2 linked regions of the Elephas maximus indicus genome follow. The protein of the gene in region 2 purifies or fractionates together with the protein of the main gene of each other region. This does not show direct contact. Links are inferred from orthologs where the notes say so. Each region holds a gene or a part of one and is shown on either strand. Other genes may lie near its edges.

Region 1 (7,104 bases), on a different chromosome or scaffold from region 2:
CACGCGCAGCGCACACACCTGAAGGAAAGGACAGGTGGGGTCAGGGCCCACCGCGTAGCACCCTAGGGGGTGCCGGGACTCAGCATCCACTGCCCTGGCTGCCAGTGGCCCCAATTACTTGCTTGATAACACAACCAATGGTTACCAGAGGCTTCCTAAGTTGACAGTGGCTATTCTTACCACTTTACGTCTAGACTCACCTAAGACCACCGCAGTCCTGAAAAGCAGGCACCACCGTCCTCACGTGTTATTACACGTAAGTAAGCTAAGGCATAAAGAGATTACAAACTTTGTCCAGAGAAGACAGAATGGCAAAGATCCAGATCTGAACCCCAGTCGTCTGGCTTGAGAGCAAATGTATCACCAGTGTACGAGGAAACTGAAGGCCAGAAAGGTCTTGCCAAGGGCCACCACTGTTCAATCCTAAACACTGCCTGGACAGGCCTGCTGCCTGCCTGTCCCAGAGGCGACCAGGGACACTTCACAGGCCCATGTCACATGGCAGAGCAAGGATGCAGGTCAGGTCTGCACACCTCCACCCTGAGCCTGTGCCCTGGAGCCCCCACCCTACTCACCTTCAGCTTGGGCACCTCCTGAACCCGCACATCATCTGTTATGGTCCCCACGACCACAGCCGTCTTGTTTTCCCGGCCAGGAAGCTTCATCTTCCTGATCTGGGGGAGAGGGGGAATGCACAAAATAAGAAGTCCCTTCTGGTGTTTAAATCCAATCCCCCTGCCTCAGGCAGCGTAAGGACCAAAACAGTTATCCCCTCTGACGAGGTTAAGCCCACTCACACACGCCTCCCTAAATAGCAGGGGACTTCTCAGGTCTAGCTTAGGAAAATCCACAAATGAGAACATATAACCACAGACTGTTCACCAGGTCTCTCCTATCAAAAGCTTTTCTAAGACACTTGAGCCTCAGGACAACCTCATGAGGAAGCCACAAGCTTCACAAGGAGGGGAAATGAGGCCAAGCCACTTGCCCAAGGCTATCCCGCCACAACCAAAGGCCAGAGCTTTGCGCCCACCACTGGGTGTAACAAAGCAGCTGACGCCCAGGCCGCTACCCCAAGCCCTCCCTGCAACAACCTCTCACCATCCGAGAAAGGGACAGGGGTGGCCGATTGGTGCGGCTCATGAACAGCCTCTTCAGCACAACTTGGTTGAAGGTAGAGTTGGTTCGTCTGGCCAGAAACCTGTACAGCTGGAGGAGAAAGGAAGGAGAGGCATGAGAACCTCAGGCAGCCCACCACTCCCACTCCCCACTTTCCAGTGAAGGGACAAATCAATGATGATTCAGGCTAGAAGTGTTCCTACGGCCTGTGCAGCCACTGACTGAGCTTTTCCCATATCCTACAGAGCTCAAGGGGCAGAGCTGGTTCAGGTCCCCCCTGCCCAAGGACCCAGAAACCCCCTCCCCACCTGAATACAGCTCACAGGCTGAAACATGAGCCTTCCAGAAGCTCTGGGCACAAGGACAGAACCAGAGATTCGAGCCTGCCATGTGGGCCCCTGAAGCGCTGCCAAGTCACAGCTCTGGGGTGGCCCTACCCCTGAGACTCAGGTCCCAGCCTCACCTTGACCAACAGCCGGAGGTAGATGTCCTGGCTCTTGGGCTCCTTGCGCCGAACCTTCCGGTCTTTGTTGTGGCGGATGTCGACTCCCTAGGGGGGTGAAGGCAAGACCACAGACTGGACTCAGGGTCTGGCAGATCACTCACCCCAGAAACCAAGACCAAGCTGGGGCCCAAGTCTCTGCAATCAACAGCTCAAATCCCAGCTCCACAACTGGGAGACCTCTGGGTGAGTCACTTAAAAACCTCTGGGGCTTAAGGGACAAAAAAGGGGGACAATCAACACGCAAAACCTTTTGCACAGAACAAATTGTCAAAACTCTTAACACAAGAGCTGTATTGCCGCAACCAAAAAAAAAAAAAAAAGTTCAACTCTTCAGAAGTTGTATTTTATAACGATACTAAGTATTATTTAAATTGCTAAAAACTGTTTCTCACACCTGCAGTGACGCAAACATTTAACCTAAGACACACGCTAAATAACAACTGACAACGCTTCTTTTTTTCTTTTTTAAGAATTCCCTCTGTATCGATCTAGAACTACCTTTCATTAACTCTTTGAATCTAACAACCTTGAGGTTGTTTCTGCTATTATCCCCAATTGCTAAAGAAACCCCACAATTCCCGCTGCAACCTCTGCCTGGTTTTCAGAGTAACTGAGGTTTTAAGATGGTGTTAATAACTGTAAAGAGCTACTTAGGTGTTAACAACACTTGCTTTATTGCAGATGCGCCCTTCTTATGAGTTACTTCTTTCTTATCTCACAAACCCATGAGACAGAATAGGACTGTGGTCCCTATGGACAGATGTGAAAACCGAGGCACAAGCCCGGAAAACAAGGCCCTAACCAATTTTTTTTTTTTTTTTTAATCACATTGCAGCCAGGCAGCCGAGAATCCAACGGAAGTCTGCCCGTTTCCAAAGCCTAGGCACTTGGCCCTCGACTCCCCAGAAAACCCACCTCTCGAGGCTGAAAAGTGGCAAGTAGTGGTAGTGTCAATAAACATAAACAGTTAAGAGTGCCCGAAGGCCAGCAGCCGGGCCCGAATCCCGGCTCCGCCACTTCTTGGCCTTGTAACCCCAATCATATTACTTAATCTCTCTGTACCTGAGTGTGCTCAACTATTTATGGAGCAGTTAATAAAGAAGTGCGGAAGGGACTGGAGACTGAAGTGATCCTGACCGATTCCCGGCCCCCAGGATGCCAACATAGCCTTCCCCGCCTCGGGCATCAACTTCTTCGGACACCCCTGGCACCCCTGGCCCCCTCCGGCAGACCCCCGGCCCAAGATCGCGGCGGATGGCGGCGGATGGCCAAGTCCCGAACGCCACCAGATGTGCTCACCATGATGGCGCCTCCTGCTCAGCCCGGGTTTGGAAAGACAGAACGAGGCGGGTGTGGGCGGGGAAAGCCTCCAGAGAGTGGCGCCCGCGTGACGTCACATGAGCGCCACGCGGCGCTCTACCACAACCCGGCCTCTTCGTGGTGTGTCGGAGGACCGGCTAAATGGGCGAGTACGGAATAGGACGGAGCGACAACCAAAGGGGAACAAGTGCGACGTCGCGGAAGGAAGGGCTAGCACGTCGGATGCCTCTCTGGCCCTCAACAGTCCCTGTTCTCTATACTCTGTCGGAAGCAAAGGATCTGAGCGCGAGAGAGATGTTCCGCGGAGCTACGAGGACGCGTAGCGGGTTGACGCTCTGGCCCGACGCCGACGACCTCTCTCTGGCTCCGGAGGACTCGGCGATCCGAGTATTGGAGGTGAGGAAGCGGGGCAGGTGAGGCTAGTTCAGGCCTCGGAAAACCTCTGACCCTAAGCTTCGGGCGTTTCCTGAGTTACCTCACGTCCTCCTTATCTCGCACTGCACCCCAAGCTTGGCCGCAGGTCAGGAAGTCCTTCTCGAGGTCTAACCCGAGACCTTCTTGCTGTAGCCTAGTCTGTAGCACCCTGTACTTCCACCTTTTCGGTTCCACTTTCCTCCTGTCTCCTGATGGCCCTGCCCTGACCACCCCCATCTTTCGTCACCTGAGGTCAACCTTTTTCCACCAAAGAGGTTCAGTGGCCCAGAGGGCATTGGTGCGAGGGGTATGCACAGTACTGGAAAGCAGAGGAAGTGCACTGAGACCCCGATTGAGGTAGGGGTGGGAGTGAGGACCGGTAAAAAGATCCATAAAGTGCGGAGACCTAAAGGGGAGTAGACAGTTTGGGGTGGGGAGTGGACATAACGTTGGTAGTGGTGGGAGAATGGAAGTTGGACACCCAGAGAAGAAGAGATATAGATGTGAGATGGTGCCTTGCCCGGTAACCAAATTCAAATCCTGGCTCTGCTGCTTACTGTATAACCTTGGGCAAGTCACTTAGTCTCTCCGTGCTTTATTTTCCTTACCTCCAAAATGGAGATGAGAATAGGCCTACCACAGCGAGTGGTTTCCAGAATCATGAATTAATAAAAGTGCTTAGGACAATGCTGTACATGTAATAAGTGCTCAGTGGCGTTGGCAAAGAATATTGAGTATACCCTGGACTGCCAGAAGAACGAACAAATCTGTCTTGGAAGAAGCACAACCAGAATACTCCGTAGGCGTGAGGATGGCGAGACTTTGTCTCACTTACTTTGGACATCTTATCAGGAGGTACCAATCCCTGGAAAAGGACACGATTGGTAAAGTAGAGGGTCAGTGAAAAAGGGGAAGACTCTCAATGAGATGGATTGACACAGTGGCTGCAACAATGGGCTCAAACATAGTAATGATTGTGAGGATGGTACAGGACTAAGCAGTGTTTTGTTCTGTTGTGCATGGGGTTGCTCTGAGTTGGAACCTAATTTGATGGCACCCAACAACATAACAACAAAAATTAACTCTTACTGAGTGTGATCAGATGGACTGGCTGGGGCAGTAATGAGGCTGACCTGAAGGGCTTCAAACAGATTCAGTCATGGCTGAGGAAGCGAAACAGGAACAGATCCAAAGTTTTACAATTTGGTACCTGGAACAGGAAAAATTACAGGTCGAAGCCCTGGAATAGGAGACTCCGAAGAGAAATAGTGAGCCCTTTCAGGTGCATGACGCGTGAAATTGGATTATTGGCAGAACTGTGGAGAATAGCACACACTCAAAGCAGCACGGTCGGCTGCCATTTTTGAGCGGAACAACGCTGCTTTGGACTGTGCTCAAAATCTGAGGGCAACAGATTTGGTTGCTATGCAATGCACACCTGCCCTTATTCTTTGAGAGGGAGATTAAGTTTCTAGCTGGGCTTTGACTCATAATTTTTCCCATTCGAGTCTCTTCTGGTGATGCTTCCTCAGCCATGACTGAACCATGCAGAACTGGTTTGAAGTCCTGCTGACCTGCCCTCTCTTTCCTCCTTCCTCAGGGAGGCCCTGCCTGGGAGGTTCAAGCACACCCGGCAATATCTCCTGCTGTCTGCCCTCGATGCACCTATTCACTGTTCCTCTCCTCCACAGAGCCAAAGGCCAGGCCTGGATCGTGGTGCCTGACTCCTTGCTTCCCCTGCTGTGCCCCCCTGCCCATCCCCAGTGGCCTCAGACCCAGGTCCTGGGTCCTGGCGATGTGGTGACAGAATAGAGGGCAGGCAGATGAATGGATGCCTTGAAGCAGAGGAACAGCAGGACCAGGTAAGGGCCCATGTAAAAGCCAAGACTGCAGTACCGTGAGACACATCACCCAAGGCCCTTCCATGTCAGACCTTCTCTCCAGGCGGTAGGATTTTGCTTTTTCCCCATGTCACAGACAGGGCAACTGAGGTCCAGAGAAGCCAGGGGCTTTCCTGAGGTTATACAGCAACTCCGTATGAGAGGCCTGGAGCCCCTCATCTGCCTCCTTTTGGGGGAGCTCCAGGCCCTCTTCTCTGCTTCCTTTTCCTTCTCCTCCCTGTTCCCTGGTCTCTGTGACTTGGTCTCCATGTTTGAGCCTTAGGTTTTTTTGTCTGCTTTTCTCTCTACTGGGTCCCAAGCTCTGATGCTGTGTCTCTCCATCTCACTGGGTTTCCGTCCGCCTTTCTTTGGGGCATTCCTTGGCACTATTATCTGGTGATATTGCTACCCTGGAGGAGTCCCTGGGTGATACAAATGGTTAACATGCTCGACTGCTAACCGAAAGGTTGGTGGTTCAAATCCACCCAGAGGTGCCTTGGAATAAAGGCCTGGTGATCTGTTTCCAAAAGATCACAGCCCTTGAAAACTCTATGGAACACAGATCTACTCTGACACACATCAGGTCACCACGAGTTGGAATCGACTTGATGGTAAATGGTGGTGGCGGTGGTGGTTGCTACCCTGGGCTGGATGCGAAGTATACTGTTTGGCAAGAAAAGAACTTCTTCCATTTGTCTCTTTTTAGCAAAGCTCTGTCCTTGTCTCTTTCTGTGTGTCTCTCCACAGTTCTGATTCAAGTCTCCTGATATAGCCTTACCTTATTTCCTTTTGGGAAACCCTGGTGGCAAAGTGGTTAAGTGCTATGGCTGCTAATGAACAGGTCAGCAGTTCAAATCCACCAGGTGCTCCTTGGAAACCCTATGGGGCAGTTCTACTCTGTCCTATAGGGTTACTATGAGTCGGAATTGACAGCAACGGGTTTGGTGCATCCTTTCAGTCTCACCATGCCTTTGCCTCTTTGTGTCTGTCAACATCTTTGCTTTCTGTCTCTCTTGGTCTCAGTCCCTCTCAGCCTCTGGACCTCCAAAATTATCCCCCAAGCCCTTCCCCATCCCCTGGAAGTTTCTCTCTCTATCTCTCTTCTGTATCTCTGTCTAGACAAGCAAGCCACTGACTTGAGTCATTTACTGGGCAGATGGTTATCTCATGTTACCTCTGCTCTGGTTTGAGCCCAAGATAAATAATTTGTGAATTAATGAGCCTCTCTTCCCTGGTTTTCATTGCAGAAGTGTGTCGTTTTCTGGGTCTTCTGTGCCCTTACCTTGCTCATTGTTACTCTTGCTGGCTTCGTTTCTTTGTATGTCTGCTTTTCTTTGAATCTGTCTTTTTGTAACGGAAATCTCCCTTGTCTCTGACTCTTTCTGCTTTTCTGGGTTTCTGCCTCGCTGAATCTCTGTGTTTTACTACCCCTTTGCATGTCTCTGAGCATTTATTACCATGTTCCTGTATTGTCAGGCTGTCTGTCTCTGCAGCTAAAGGTTTCCTCCCCCTTGTGTCATCTCGTTTATGAACTTAATGGATGGGACAGGCTCACGTGCCCTTGACAAAGATGGCAGCTTCAGGGCCGGCTTTGGGACTATGACGCCCCCTCTGCTGCGCGTGTGCCCTCACCTAGGATGGCGGCCGGTCTCGCGAGGTGCGATGCCCCCGGCTGTTCTCGACTTCTCCCTCGGCCTGCCCCTGCGACAAGCTCGCTTGTCGATTGGCTCCGCCCCACGCCCTCTCATTGGCCTGACTCAGACCGGCCGCTCGGCGACTGGCTAAGCCGAGCACACCCTCCCCCCCACCCCTAGATCTGATGGGGGCGGTTGGTGCTGACCTGAGGAGCCGCCTGGAGGAGGACCC
Region 2 (7,701 bases):
TAGAAGTCCACAAGAAACAAAATATAGCCTTGAGTATATCCCATCTGCATCTGGAGACCATTTCAGGAACAGATTTGATGCTTTGAACACTAACGACCAAAGACTAGATGAACTGTGGAATGACATCAAGAACATAATACATGAAGAAAGCATGAGGTCATTAAAAAGACGGGAAAGAAAGAAAAGACCAAAATAGATGTCAGAAGAGACTCTGAAATTTGCTCTTCAACATAAAGTAGCTAAAGCAAATGGAAGAAATGAGGAAGTAAAAGAGCTGAACAGATGATTTCAAAGGGTGGCTCGAGAAGACAAAATAAAGTAATATTATGAAATGTACAAAGACCTGGAGTTAGAAAACCAAAAAGGAAGAACACACTTGGCATTTCTCAAGCTGAAAGAACTGAAGAAAAAAATTCAAGCCTCGAGTTGAAATACTGAAGGATTCTATGGCCAAAATAATGAATGACACAGGAAGCATCATAAGAAGATGGAAGGAATACACAGTCACTGTACCAAAAAGAATTGGTTGACATTCCACCATTTCAGGAGGTAGCATATGATCAAGAATCAATGGTACTGAAGGAAGAAGTCCAAGCTGCACTGAAAACACTGGCATAAAACAAGGCTCCAGGAATTGATGGAATACCAATTTAGATGTTTCAACAAACAGATGGAGCGCTGAAGGTGCCGACTCATCTATGCCAAGAAATTTGGAAGACAGCTACCTGGCCAACGAACTGGAAGAGATCCATATTTGTACCCATTTCAAAGAAAGGTGATCCAACAGAATGTGGAAATTATCAAACGATACCATTAATATCACATGCAAATAAAATTTTGCTGAAGATAATTCAAAAATGCAGCAGTACCTTAATAGGGAACTGCCAGAAATTCCAGTGAGATTCAGAAGAGGATGTGGAACGAGGGTTATCACTGCTGATGTCAGATGGATCTTGGCTGAAAGCAGACAATACCAGAAAGATGCTTACCTGTATTTTATTGACTATGCAAAGGCATTCAACTGTGTGGATCATAACAAATTATGGATGACATTGCGAAGAATGGGAATTCCAGAGCACTTAATTGTGCTCATGCAGAACCCGTGCATAGACCAAGAGGTAGTCATTCCAACAGAACAAGAGGATACTGAGTGGTTTAAAATCAGGAGAGGTGTGCGTCAGGGTTGTGCCCTTTCATCATACCTTTTCAATCTGTATGCTGAGCAAATAATCTGAGAAACCAGGTTATATGAAGAACATGGCATCAGGATTAGAGACTCATTAGCCACCTGCAATATGCAGATGACAACCTTGCCTGCTGAAAGAGAAGAGGACTTGAAGCACTTACTGATGAAGATGAAAGACTACAGCCTACAGTATGGATTACACCTCAACATAAAGAAAACAAAAATCTTCACAACTGGACAAATAAAGTAACATCATGTCAAATGGAGAAAAGTTTGAAGTTGCCAAGGATTTCATTTTACTTGGATCCACAATCAACAGCCATGGAAGCAGTGGTCAAGAAATCAAAAGACGCATTGCATTGGGCAAACTGGCTGCAAAAGACCTCTTTAAAGTATTGAAAAGCAAAGATGTCGCCTTGAGGACTAAAGTGTGCCTGACCCAAGCCATGGTGTTTTCAATCACCTCATATGCATGGAAAGCTGGACAATGAATAAGGAAGACAGAAGAATTGACACTTTTAAATTGTGGTGTTGGTGAAGAATATTGAATATACCATGGACTGCAAAAAGAACAAACAGATCTGTCTTGGAAGAAGTACAACCAGAATGCTTCTTAGAAGGGATGGCAAGGCTACGTATCATGCACTTTGGACATGTTATCAGAAGGTATCAGTCCCTGGAGAAGCACATCATGCTTGTTAGAGGGTCAGTGAAAAAGAGGAAGACTCTCAACAAGATGGATTGACACAGTGGCTGCAACAATGGGCTCAAGCATAGCAACGACTGTGAAGACAATGCAGGACTGGGCAGTGTTTTGCTCTGTTGTGCGTAGGGTTGCTAAGAGCTGGAACCAACTCAACAGCACCTAACAACAACAACAACATGGGGCTGCAGTCAGATAGATGGCAGGAGGGACTGGAACATCCCAAATGGCTTCACTTGCAGGTCTTGTACTTTAACGTATATTAGATGGCTGTAAGGATGGGCTCAGCTTGGACACTGGGAAAGGTAGACCTCTGCCCCTCTCCATGTGGTCTCTCCAGCAGAGTAGCTGAACTTCCAAAGCAACTCAAGGCTCTCAATAATGCAAAAGGCTGAAGCCTAGAGCTGGCAGAGAATCATATTCTGGTTAAAGCTTGGTTTAGAACACTTAGGGTAAGTCACAGAACCAGCCCAGTCAAACGTGCGGAAGAGCAGGGGACTAACAAGGCCATGATACGAGGAGGCACAGACCACTAGCGGCCTTCTTTGGAAACTAGCTACCATAGGTGATTCCATGATACCAAGGCCCTTAACATTTCCATTTCTTCCTGCCACTGTGAGCACTCACAAACACAACATGACTGGATGTTCTGTCTGGAAAGATCATTCTGGCAATGGAGAGGAAGACGGCTAGGAGAAGGGGAAACCAAAGGTTTTGCGAAAGTACACTTTGGTGGTGAAGACCTGAAGCAGGCAAGGAGCGGTGGGCTCAGTGAGCAGTCTGCGGGGAGGGGACAGGTGGTCTGTAACGTCACAGGGTGTGGAGACGCCATCTGGGGCAGGGTTAGGAAGCACGGGGGAGGGCAATGGGAGAGAGGAAGCCAAAGGAATATTTGTGGCATTTAGGCCATAATCACATTTAATTGTTAGCATTCGTAACATACTAGTTGAAGTGCACTTTTCTACAGTCATCAGCAAACTATTTCAGCACAGCTACTTCACAGCAAGAGGATGTGAATCTAACCCAAATATGACTAATTAACTTTGAGCCCAGTGGGTGACTCTCTAGTTTTTTATATCCTGACCTAATACACAGAAATGTGTGCATATATATATATATGTATATGTACCAGAATATACCAGTTGTCATGGCAACCCCAGGTGTTTCAGAGTAGAACTTACTGTGATCTTTCAAAAGCAGATCACCAGGCCTTTCTTCCGAGGCACTCTGGGTATATTTGAAAACTTTGCACCACCCAGGGACTCCTTTGTATGTATGTAAGTGTATACACATACATACATATACACATATATACATTTGTATGACTGCTGAGACAAAAGTTTTCCAAATCACTATCCCTTACTCTATTCTCTTTAATCTTTTTTTTTTTTTTTTTTAATGCTGGCCATGACTGAGTAAATTAATTCTGCAATCCATTAATGGACTCTGACTTCTGGTTTGAAAATCTCAGCCCCAGTAAAGAAACACCTGAAACTCCAGGAAGATTTTGGATGAAGTATAGAAGTAATACACTAAATTAAAGTCACTGCATTAATATTCTCCACTACATTTTGGAATCATCTATTTAATTTGCTATTTTAAGTATCTATTTTATACATTTTTTTTATACGGCTTAAGAGAATTTAACATACCGGATTATGTAATAATCCATTTTTGCAACTCCATTCTAAAATGTGAAATAAACTAATTCAGACTCGTGATAAATTGGTAAACACACAGAATGCAAACATTTCAAAAGCAATATTGAGATTATGAAGTTTTAAAAATCACTGCCCATATTTTTAAGTTTCATGGGTTCTGTTTGTCAAGTAACTTAATCGCTTAAGAAGAAAATAAATGTCTTATATTTATAAATGCAGTCTAATTGTGGGAACTTCAAATTATTAAGTTCCCTTGAAATTATTATTTAAATTCACCAGGAAACTTGCTACTTACGGGACGATTTATAACTCTAAAATTAACTATTAAAGCCAGAGTAATTTCAAAACAGACTTCTGCGTGCCCAAAAGCCTCCCTGGAGTACGGGAAAGCAGCTCGCCTCACTCGGATGTGAAGAATCTAGGACCGTCCACGCGGGCGAGCAACACGTGGCTCTGCAAAAGGAGCTGGGGAGCAGGAAACCGTCCCAGCAACAAGTGGTATGGTCTTTTCTACTTTACTGCCACCCTCATTAAAAGCAACAATAATAAGTTTACAATTGCTTTTTAAACATAAAAAAAAAAAAAAACCCCAAGAGGCACGTTTCTTGCAGGGTCTACGCCGGCTGGCCCCAAACCCGGTTCCAGTCCCGGGAAGGAGGAAAAGGTGCGCGGCCTGCGGGGCTTGGGGGGCGGGCTGGGGGAGGGAGAGTCGCCCCTGAAGGGCAGGCGGGTACGGAGAGCCCTGCGGGACGTGGAAGGAGGGGTATGGGATCCAAGACCACCCGTGGAGCCCAGAGCGGGCTCCGCCACCGTTTCTGTAGGGATGGTCGCCACGCCCCATGCAGTGCAGCCCACACCTATTTCACAGAGCTCTGCTGCCTGTAACTTATATGATCAAAACATGAAGAACCTGGACTGTTATCCAGAAAAAAGCGCTTTTGCGGCCTGCAGCGCCCGGCCTCACCCCGCTCAGCCCCGGCAACCGCACCAGCCCGCTGCAGCAAGGCCGGAAAAGGCCGGCTACCCCTTGGCGCCACTCTCCCCACACGCCGCCCTCGCCCTCTAGGCGATACCATCCCAGATGCACCCCTCCGGAGGACCCGAAATGGTGCCGTCCTCGGCCTCTGATTGGCTGACTCGGCGAGGGCGTGGCCTCCGGGGCCAGGTTCCGCGCGCTGGAGCCCGCTCGCCGCATTGCGAGCCGGGCAAGGAGCGAGCGCCATGGTGAGGGCTGGTTGTGGGTTGCGGGCGAGGCGAAGGCCGTGGCCTGGGCCCAGGCTTTGGCGCGGACCTAGGCCCAGCCGGTGTCTGCCTTGGGATCGGGGGCCCGGCGAACGCTGGGCCCGCGCTGATGCTCGAGCCCCGGCTTCCGTTCCAGGTGCTGCTGCACGTGCTGTTTGAGCACGCGGTCGGCTACGCGCTGTTGGCGGTAAAGGAGGTGGAGGAGATCAGCTTGCTGCTGCCGCAGGTGAGTGGAACCGGTGAGTTCGGCAGCCGGAGGGGCTGCAGCGCGGTCGGGCGAGTCCCCAGCGCAGGCCCCAGCATGCACCGCGCGTTCCCACGTGGTCGGCTGTGTGGAGTGGGGGTGGGGAACGGGCCTGGAGAGCTGTAGAGCCAGGGTCCTCGCCTTGGTTCATGACAAGAATAACTTTAGGAGCTTTTTTAGATAAGCCATTTCTTTTCCATTACGGACTAAAGCAGAACCTTGAGAGATGGAGCCCAGGCATCCCTGTGTTTTAAAAGCTTTCTAGGTGGTTCTTGGATGTGTCCAAGCCTGAGAACCTCGGCTTCACTGCGGTTTAGAGTCAAAATAGTCAAAGAGTGTCGGAAGGAAACCGCTCATCCTGTTTCTCCCACCCCAGGTGGAGGAGTGCGTGCTCAATCTGGGCAAGTTCCACAACATCGTTCGTCTCGTGGCCTTTTGTCCCTTCGCCTCCTCCCACGTTGCCTTGGAAAATGCCAACGCCGTGTCCGAAGGTGAATTGGCCACCCCGAAGTTTTAGGGGAGATAGGATATGTGATTCCTGCTGCAGTTCTCTTGGGGGATTTGTGATAAAAAAAAACGAAATGCTGTCATATTTAAAGCTATCTCTAGAATCGAGATTTTGTTTTCTTACGAGCATTGGGGTGGTAAATAATTCTTAAATGAAATCTTGGGTGGGTGGGGGACCCCGGTTTAAAGCCCATTTGTGCCCGAAGCTTGCCTAAACCCAGTCACCTGAAGGGTTCCCTGCTGCATCATTCATGTAGTTGAATACATGTAAGCCAAGAAGACTGTTCTGAAACAGTTGTGGTCCCAGGAGACAAATAAGATACTTGCTGCTTTTATCATGCTGGAGCTTGTGTTTTAAGCTTTATTTGTATATTCCAAACTGGTGCTGTTGGACCTGAGCCCTGTTCCTCCCCTAGTTGAGCCAGGCTTTGCAGTGATGACTTGTGTCTGTCAATCCCCTGAGTGCAGTCACTGATGTCTCCATGTCTCTGAGCAATGCCTGAAGGGGGAGGGTGCCTAGGCATGGCATCCCAGCATGCTCTGCAGAACCAGTTTAAGATCCGCTATCACTTAATCAGCTCTGTAACAAGACAGGATCCCTTCTATACTTTAAATGTCCTAAAGCATGTTAGTAAGCGGTGTTTTTTTACCTGGAGGTGTTGTTCATGAGGATCTTCGCCTGTTCTTGGAGACATACCTGCCATCCAAAAAAAAGAAAGTAGTCTTGGGAGTTGGGGACCCCAAGATTGGTGCTGCTATACAGGAGGAGTTAGGGTACAACTGCCAGACTGGAGGTGTGATAGCTGAGATCCTGCGAGGTGAGAACATCTGTGGCACTTATGCCATTCTTGACAAACTTGGCCGGCGGGGGAGGGGGGTGGCGTCCTGAAGGTGCTTAAGATTACTTCTGGAGGCCTTGCTTGCCTGATGGGTGCGGAGCTAGCTCAGGCCCTTTCCATGCTCATAGCCCTACCCTTCTCCAGGAATTCGCCTGCACTTCCATAATCTGGTGAAGGGTCTGACTGACCTGTCTGCTTGTAAAGCTCAGCTTGGTCTGGGACACAGCTACTCTCGTGCCAAAGTTAAGTTTAATGTGAACCGGGTGGACAATATGATCATTCAGTCCATTAGCCTTCTGGACCAGCTGGATAAAGACATCAATACCTTCTCTATGCGTGTCAGGTAAAGTACAGGGGCAGTCCCAGAAAGTGGGGTCTTTGGCCTGTAGTTTAGCTAATTTTGAATCCTTAGATCAGGTCTGGGAAGAACCAGGTGGGGAAGGGGTTTGGCCTCCTTGTGCTTACCACAGGCTGTGTTTTTGCACTGACTGTATAGAAAGGGGAGGCAGATAAAGTACCCCATATACACCTCAGCCCAGGCCTTGTGCCTGGTTTGTATTGTGAATGGGGCAACATGGCATTGAGGAGGCTTTAAATCTGACTGGTCCCATTTTTTCCAGACATGTAGTAGATAAGGGGAGATGTGGTAGCTGGTCTAGGGAGTGACTGTGGCTCCTTGCAGGGAGTGGTATGGCTATCACTTTCCGGAGCTGGTGAAGATTGTCAATGACAATGCCACGTACTGCCGCCTTGCCCAATTCATTGGAAACCGCAAAGAGCTGAACGAAGACAAGTTGGAGAAGCTGGAGGAACTGACTATGGACGGGGCCAAGGCCAAGGCCATTCTAGATGCCTCACGGTCTTCCATGGGTCAGTGCAGAGCCTGGCAGCCAGGTGTAACGTGTGGGGCTTTGAATGTCTGGTTCCTGCATTCACATTTGGTGTTCTCTAGGCATGGACATATCTGCCATCGACTTGATAAACATCGAGAGCTTCTCCAGCCGAGTGGTGTCTCTATCAGAATACCGCCAGAGCTTACATACTTACCTGCGCTCCAAGATGAGCCAAGTAGCCCCCAGCTTGTCAGCTCTCATTGGGGAAGCGGTATGTCATGGGGGGCTCGGGAATGTTACCATGTAAGTCTGCGCTGCTGTATTTTCTGACTTGCCATATCTTCCCTAGTTGTGCATGATGGGGAGGAGGTAAGCAGGGATTATGTAATTCTTAGGTCAGCAGTTTCAGCTTCTGACTTCTTTGTGTCTTTCTCCAGGTAGGTGCACGTCTCATTGCACATGCTGGCAGCCTCACCAACCTGGCCA

What was found.
Region 1: the proteins of NOP56 (region 2) and RPL18 purify together in Homo sapiens (affinity purification with mass spectrometry; 4 studies listed by BioGRID and IntAct, with this or other methods). This does not show direct contact. The link is inferred for Elephas maximus indicus from reciprocal best matches to the Homo sapiens genes NOP56 and RPL18.

Annotation. Positions count from the first base shown.
Region 1 is NC_064829.1:99,008,008-99,015,111, forward strand, and holds the start of RPL18 (60S ribosomal protein L18), read right to left. Parts: upstream 3,008-7,104; 5' UTR 2,927-3,007; coding exon 2,924-2,926; intron 1,670-2,923; coding exon 1,583-1,669; intron 1,210-1,582; coding exon 1,102-1,209; intron 675-1,101; coding exon 576-674; intron 19-575; coding exon 1-18. Other genes in the region: SPHK2 (sphingosine kinase 2), read left to right, coding at 5,182-5,220.
Region 2 is NC_064843.1:41,254,234-41,261,934, forward strand, and holds the start of NOP56 (nucleolar protein 56), read left to right. Parts: upstream 1-4,698; 5' UTR 4,699-4,771; coding exon 4,772-4,774; intron 4,775-4,928; coding exon 4,929-5,018; intron 5,019-5,412; coding exon 5,413-5,527; intron 5,528-5,971; exon of another isoform or gene 5,972-6,039; intron 6,040-6,199; coding exon 6,200-6,361; intron 6,362-6,526; coding exon 6,527-6,725; intron 6,726-6,830; exon of another isoform or gene 6,831-6,960; intron 6,961-7,064; coding exon 7,065-7,252; intron 7,253-7,334; coding exon 7,335-7,486; intron 7,487-7,652; coding exon 7,653-7,701. UniProt on the Homo sapiens protein: Involved in the early to middle stages of 60S ribosomal subunit biogenesis. Required for the biogenesis of box C/D snoRNAs such U3, U8 and U14 snoRNAs. Part of the small subunit (SSU) processome, first precursor of the small eukaryotic ribosomal subunit.